Saccharomyces cerevisiae S288C: one gene and its partner. The protein of the gene in region 1 purifies or fractionates together with the protein of each later gene. This does not show direct contact. Each region holds a gene or a part of one and is shown on either strand. Other genes may lie near its edges. The genes, in order: PHO5 and RPI1.

What was found.
Region 2: the proteins of PHO5 (region 1) and RPI1 purify together in Saccharomyces cerevisiae (affinity purification with mass spectrometry, with the first as the bait; one large-scale study listed by BioGRID). This does not show direct contact.

The regions. Positions count from the first base shown.
Region 1 is NC_001134.8:428,716-432,477, reverse strand, and holds PHO5 (acid phosphatase PHO5), read left to right. Parts: upstream 1-1,526; coding exon 1,527-2,930; downstream 2,931-3,762. Other genes in the region: PBY1 (putative tubulin tyrosine ligase), read right to left, coding at 1-442; acid phosphatase PHO3, read left to right, coding at 3,377-3,762. UniProt on the Saccharomyces cerevisiae protein: Partially mediates extracellular nucleotide derived phosphate hydrolysis along with NPP1 and NPP2.
Region 2 is NC_001141.2:135,906-139,781, reverse strand, and holds RPI1 (Rpi1p), read left to right. Parts: upstream 1-1,904; coding exon 1,905-3,128; downstream 3,129-3,876. Other genes in the region: Rho family GTPase RHO3, read right to left, coding at 1-30; QDR1 (multidrug transporter), read right to left, coding at 3,674-3,876. UniProt on the Saccharomyces cerevisiae protein: Negative regulator of the Ras-cyclic AMP pathway. Negatively regulate the activity of normal but not mutationally activated Ras proteins. The down-regulatory effect of RPI1 requires the presence of one of the two Ras GTPase activators, IRA1 and IRA2.

The DNA of each region.
Region 1 (3,762 bases):
AGGTAATATAAGCAGCAGATGTATTTCTACCAACATTTGGACCCGACAGTACTAGATCAAACGGTTCATTAGACAATAGGTGCAGCCCGATGTTTGCGCACGATGCTGGAGTTCCATCGATTAATATCCACTCAATTGTATCTTTCGGAATTTCAGCATTGAGAACATAAGGTAATTTAGAGTTTTCTGACCTAATTTGTGGCTGGATAAATGGGCCCCAAAAAGTATTGTCTTCAGCGTCAACTTTAGAATATATGAATTGAGCTGTCAAATTTTTACCAGCAAGATGAGCCTTACCCACCCATGATTTCTGGACATGAGGTACACAAACCGTGATTTTCCATTCAGGATAATTTCTTTTAATGTGCTGAATAAAAGGTCTAATGTATGGTGAAAACTGATCACTTAAGGGACCATCATCGTTAGTTATTAAAACCCGCATCTTAAAAGAAATATTTATTGTTTCCGAATTTTTAATGTCAGAGATCAAGTCAGAGCGGCTGCCTTTACCGTAATTTTCAATTGCTAAATACAATGTTCCTTGGTTATCCCATCGCCAATAATTTTTATTTTTACCACTGTTGAAGAAGCGAAAGAAAAAAAAAGGGAAAATCAAAACATTCCCTGTGCACTAATAGAAGAAAACAAGAGACTCCGTCCCTCTTTAGTGAGAAAATTGACCAGAGATGGTTTTTGTCCATCTTTTCGCAAAAAATTAGTTCTATTTTTTACACATCGGACTGATAAGTTACTACTGCACATTGGCATTAGCTAGGAGGGCATCCAAGTAATAATTGCGAGAAACGTGACCCAACTTTGTTGTAGGTCCGCTCCTTCTAATAATCGCTTGTATCTCTACATATGTTCTATTTACTGACCGAAAGTAGCTCGCTACAATAATAATGTTGACCTGATGTCAGTCCCCACGCTAATAGCGGCGTGTCGCACGCTCTCTTTACAGGACGCCGGAGACCGGCATTACAAGGATCCGAAAGTTGTATTCAACAAGAATGCGCAAATATGTCAACGTATTTGGAAGTCATCTTATGTGCGCTGCTTTAATGTTTTCTCATGTAAGCGGACGTCGTCTATAAACTTCAAACGAAGGTAAAAGGTTCATAGCGCTTTTTCTTTGTCTGCACAAAGAAATATATATTAAATTAGCACGTTTTCGCATAGAACGCAACTGCACAATGCCAAAAAAAGTAAAAGTGATTAAAAGAGTTAATTGAATAGGCAATCTCTAAATGAATCGATACAACCTTGGCACTCACACGTGGGACTAGCACAGACTAAATTTATGATTCTGGTCCCTGTTTTCGAAGAGATCGCACATGCCAAATTATCAAATTGGTCACCTTACTTGGCAAGGCATATACCCATTTGGGATAAGGGTAAACATCTTTGAATTGTCGAAATGAAACGTATATAAGCGCTGATGTTTTGCTAAGTCGAGGTTAGTATGGCTTCATCTCTCATGAGAATAAGAACAACAACAAATAGAGCAAGCAAATTCGAGATTACCAATGTTTAAATCTGTTGTTTATTCAATTTTAGCCGCTTCTTTGGCCAATGCAGGTACCATTCCCTTAGGCAAACTAGCCGATGTCGACAAGATTGGTACCCAAAAAGATATCTTCCCATTTTTGGGTGGTGCCGGACCATACTACTCTTTCCCTGGCGACTATGGTATTTCTCGTGATTTGCCTGAAGGTTGTGAAATGAAGCAACTGCAAATGGTTGGTAGACATGGTGAAAGATACCCTACTGTCAGTCTGGCTAAGACTATCAAGAGTACATGGTATAAGTTGAGCAATTACACTCGTCAATTCAACGGCTCATTGTCATTCTTGAACGATGATTACGAGTTTTTCATCCGTGATGACGATGATTTGGAAATGGAAACCACTTTTGCCAACTCGGACGATGTTTTGAACCCATACACTGGTGAAATGAACGCCAAGAGACATGCTCGTGACTTCTTGGCTCAATACGGTTACATGGTCGAAAACCAAACCAGTTTCGCCGTTTTTACCTCTAATTCTAAGAGATGTCATGACACTGCTCAATATTTCATTGATGGTTTAGGTGACCAATTCAACATCACCTTGCAGACTGTCAGTGAAGCTGAATCCGCTGGTGCCAACACTTTGAGTGCTTGTAACTCATGTCCTGCTTGGGACTACGATGCCAATGATGACATTGTAAATGAATACGACACAACCTACTTGGATGACATTGCCAAGAGATTGAACAAGGAAAACAAGGGTTTGAACTTGACCTCAACTGACGCTAGTACTTTATTCTCGTGGTGTGCATTTGAAGTGAACGCTAAAGGTTACAGTGATGTCTGTGATATTTTCACCAAGGATGAATTAGTCCATTACTCCTACTACCAAGACTTGCACACTTATTACCATGAGGGTCCAGGTTACGACATTATCAAGTCTGTCGGTTCCAACTTGTTCAATGCCTCAGTCAAATTATTAAAGCAAAGTGAGATTCAAGACCAAAAGGTTTGGTTGAGTTTTACCCACGATACCGATATCCTAAACTTTTTGACCACCGCTGGTATAATTGACGACAAAAACAACTTAACTGCCGAATACGTTCCATTCATGGGCAACACTTTCCACAGATCCTGGTACGTTCCTCAAGGTGCTCGTGTCTACACCGAAAAATTCCAATGTTCTAACGACACCTACGTCAGATACGTCATTAACGATGCTGTTGTTCCAATTGAAACCTGTTCCACTGGTCCAGGGTTCTCTTGTGAAATCAATGACTTCTACGACTATGCTGAAAAGAGAGTAGCCGGTACTGACTTCCTAAAGGTCTGTAACGTCAGCAGCGTCAGTAACTCTACTGAATTGACCTTCTACTGGGACTGGAACACTACTCATTACAACGCCAGTCTATTGAGACAATAGTTTTGTATAACTAAATAATATTGGAAACTAAATACGAATACCCAAATTTTTTATCTAAATTTTGCCGAAAGATTAAAATCTGCAGAGATATCCGAAACAGGTAAATGGATGTTTCAATCCCTGTAGTCAGTCAGGAACCCATATTATATTACAGTATTAGTCGCCGCTTAGGCACGCCTTTAATTAGCAAAATCAAACCTTAAGTGCATATGCCGTATAAGGGAAACTCAAAGAACTGGCATCGCAAAAATGAAAAAAAGGAAGAGTGAAAAAAAAAAAATTCAAAAGAAATTTACTAAATAATACCAGTTTGGGAAATAGTAAACAGCTTTGAGTAGTCCTATGCAACATATATAAGTGCTTAAATTTGCTGGATGGAAGTCAATTATGCCTTGATTATCATAAAAAAAATACTACAGTAAAGAAAGGGCCATTCCAAATTACCTATGTTTAAGTCTGTTGTTTATTCGGTTCTAGCCGCTGCTTTAGTTAATGCAGGTACAATTCCCCTCGGAGAGTTAGCCGATGTTGCCAAAATTGGCACTCAGGAAGACATATTCCCATTCCTGGGTGGTGCCGGGCCATACTTCTCTTTCCCTGGCGACTATGGTATTTCTCGTGACTTGCCTGAAGGTTGTGAAATGAAACAATTGCAAATGCTTGCCAGACATGGTGAAAGATACCCAACTTACAGTAAAGGTGCTACCATCATGAAAACATGGTATAAGTTGAGCAATTACACACGTCAATTCAACGGCTCATTGTCATTCTTGAACGATGATTACGAGTTTTTCATCCGTGATGACGATGATTTGGAAATGGAAACCACTTT
Region 2 (3,876 bases), on another chromosome or scaffold:
CGTTGAAGCTGACCCACATAGAAATGACATGTTTGTTTCCCTTTACCTTGTGCTACTATGGATTTTAATGAAAAACTTGTTGTTATAAAGTAAAAAATGCTGACCAGAGCTAGAGATGAGAACGATAAAAAAACGAAAATCAATGGTTGCCTATTTTCCAGTAAATTCAAAATAATACATGTTTTTTCTTTCTTTTTCTTTTCTTTTTACTGTTTACCAATTTTCAGGAATGTTAAGAAAGATAAAAGAAATATACAAGATGCCATTAACGGGTAATGGCACCAGTATATCTATGACGGGTAATCCTGTTAGTGGATGTCAAAAAACGTTCTTGGGGTTTCCCGGACGCCTTACACTATTTTGTAAAAAAGCTCATCCACACCCCTCTCCTTGTATTTCTTATCTATAATCTACTATTTCTCGCGTAGGTGCGGTAACGCTGTTCCAAGAAAAAAGTTGGCCGACGACTGGTTCTGGGCCGGGCTCGACCGGAAGTGGTAAGTGGCCTCAATTTGAGTTTCGCTTACTCCTTCCATTCTTACAACACACCCGAAGTTTAATTCACGTGACCAGATAAGGGATTTATTATATGTTTATTGTAAAAAAAATAAGGTAGATAGACATATTACATTTCCTCGTGCTTATCGAAGTATTTTTCTTAGACATCTCGCATGACCACAATGCTGGCTCGAAGGCATTTACTCTTTCCTTGGGGAGATGTGCTTACTGTGATTGATTATGTATTCTTGCGTGCATCTGCAAATCTGCGTTGACTAATTTCGGAGTCTTTTAAACACAGAAGCATTACAGGCCCCTCTCCTCACTTGTGCCCAGTATGCAAGTGTGCTTTCCTGTGAAAACTCCTTCATTTTCTTTTCTTACGCATATGCATAGTCGGATTCCAGCTATTTCCATAGTAAAGAAGAAGAAAAAGTAAATACTTCCTTTTCACATGGGCCGGCCGATGCAGGTCCTCAGGTACTTCGTTTATAAGCTTATATAAGCATGCAAAATTAAACGAGGTGGCTGCTTTAAGAGCGTGCAGAATATAGTCACTTACTACCCTAAGTTAGGACTTTGTCTTAGGAACAAACACATCAAAAATGTGCAGAACAACAAGCCCGCGGGGGTTTTTGCGGTTGACTACTCCTGCTTCATGTCTTTTCTCCCCTGCCATTTGTGCTTCTGGATTTGCTTGAAGGTAACCTTAAAGGATCTGCGCATCTTTCTCTTACGAAAACAAGTATAAGATTTTGCCTGGGCAAACTTAAATTACGGAAAAAGGAGTCGTCGAGAATGTTGCCCTTCCACATTTGGATTAGCTGATAAACGTAAATTGGGGGGGGGGGGGGTCGGTTAAATTTTGTCGACGGGAATGGAATTTTCTCTGGTATTTGCCGCAGCTTGCAGATAGTAGAGCCGATCTTGTGAGGTTAACACCGCATATGGCATTCTGTTGCAAAGTTAAAATGCGTCACCCACCCTAGCGCCTAGGGTCGAGTACTGTTTTAAACTTTTTCAAGACCGGGCGTACCATTGTGCTTGTTCCTTACTTCGTTATTTTCTTGCATATTATATTGGTTGAGATTATTTCTATGGACTATATATAAATAAGGGACGGTCGTATTGTTCTTTTATGTCTGCATCCTAAAGAGTATTTTTTTTTATAGTCTTGTTTTCTTGTTCAAATTAAAGAAAGATCTAATAGTTTTCGTAATACTGAAACTACTCTTTTTTTTTCCTTACAATCTGACTTTTTTTGTATTTCCTTTTTTTCCGTTTGGTTATCCAGACTACAGTTCATGGTAGTATATCATATTATCGTATTCGTTTAACTATTTCTCAGTCCTTTTTTTTAAGTCTTTTTTTTTTTTTCTCATCATTTTATTACTGATATTTATAAAATGTACTTGGAATATCTTCAACCGAAGTTGAACCTAATGGATGAGTCTAGCACTATAAGCAAAAATTTCCCTGATTATTCACCAAATTTAAACACACCCATTACTTCAAATTTTAATGAAGAAACGGGTTCGGACTGCTCTTTAGTTACTCCAAGAATAATTTCCAGTTCAAATTCGAATTCGAACTCCAATTCTAATTCGAACTCCAACTCCAACTCAGGCTCTATTGACGAAAATGAGCTAAACAACTCTAATTCATCCTCCTCGTCTGCAAGACAGATAAGGAAAAAATGGAAAGAGCCTGAGGATATAGCATTCATTACTACAATAATGAATAATTCTCAATTACTAACATTCGTAGAATATTTCAAGCCTATGAAGAATTTTTGGAAAAAAATTTCAAAAATCCTATTCCAACAATATGGGTACGAGAGAAACTCTCGTCAATGTCATGATAGATTTAAAGTCTTATACACAAAGTCTTTGAAAGTGCATCCATCAAAGAAATCCAAGCAAAAGAAAAAAAAATCAAAACAAGAGGCAGGCTCAAACTTAAATTTTGATCCGTCAAAATTATCTAGAATGCAGTATTTGCTAGTGCAGTTACAAAACACTTTTAGTTTTGTAAACGGAAACATTATACTCAAGTCGCAAAAAACATTGAAGCCGAACAAGAATGGTACTAATGATAATATTAATAACCATTATTATAATAATTGTAACAATAACAATAATAATATTAACAATAGTAACAATAGCAACAATAATAATAGCAATAATATTAATAGGAATAGTAATCATAGTACTAATGTTTTTAGTACACCAGAGCATATTCAGTCAAGTATCAACCTCGATAAATTAGAATCTTTGCCAGCTTTGGATACCAAAGGAGAACCATCCTTCATTAGCCCGGCTCAATTTTCCCTTTTGTCATCAGCACCGGCAGACAATCTAATCCTGCAAACTCCACCATCGCCATTTTTCCAGCAAACAATGCCTATACAGCTACCGCGCGATGCACAACAAGAACAAATTTCCCCAGTTTTCTCTACAGATGTCATATACATGTGGCAAACAATGTTTAACACTATTGAAAATTTAAAGGAACAAGTAAACTGCTTAAAAAATGAAGTTAAGCAATTAAACCATAAATTTTACCAACAAAATAAACCGTTGCATAATATGTCAACTTCAGACTCAGAAAATTTTATGCAACAACATTAAAGTATGTATCGGGAAGTCTCCACCATAAATTTTCTACCCCTTTAATTCTAGCACATTCCCTGTTTCCCTTCACCCTCATCAATAATTTTCAATTCGTCGTTTCACCTTTTAATTAATTTTAAATGCTCATTTCATTTCTGTTTTAAATTTTATGTCTGTTTTGTATGCTATTTCATTTTTCATTTACTTCTCCAGGGAAACAAGACAATATTACTTATATATACATTTATATTTATGCCCATTCAACATCCGATTTTTTTCTATAAAATAAGTGAAAAAAATAATGAAACTTAACGAATCTGTCACCAAGAAATGTCCTTATTGTTCATTTTGGATTTTCTCAAGTTTTATCTTTGGTTGAAGCAGTTTATGTTTTGTTTACTTGGACAGCCAAAAAGAGAAAAAGAAGGTGAAAATTTTTTATGTGATCTCTTCAAAGAAATTTTAGATACTTTAAATGATGCCGTACGTCTTTGTTATAAAATATAGATATCTGTTTCTGGAAAGTGGGGGCAGAGACTTTTTAGTTTTACGACTTTTTTTCTTCACGTCGAAACTTTTTCTGAATTTTTACCAACTGACCTTCCAGCCGACTTATCATTTGCCCTAATCCTATCGAACGATAGTTGTTTCCCATTCTTCAGGAGATAGAATAATAAAAGCGATGAAGATGAAGTTATAGCACTCAAAAACGTAAAAACACCTCCATATCTCATCTTCTCGACCATCTTGGTCAGTGCTGCAATGA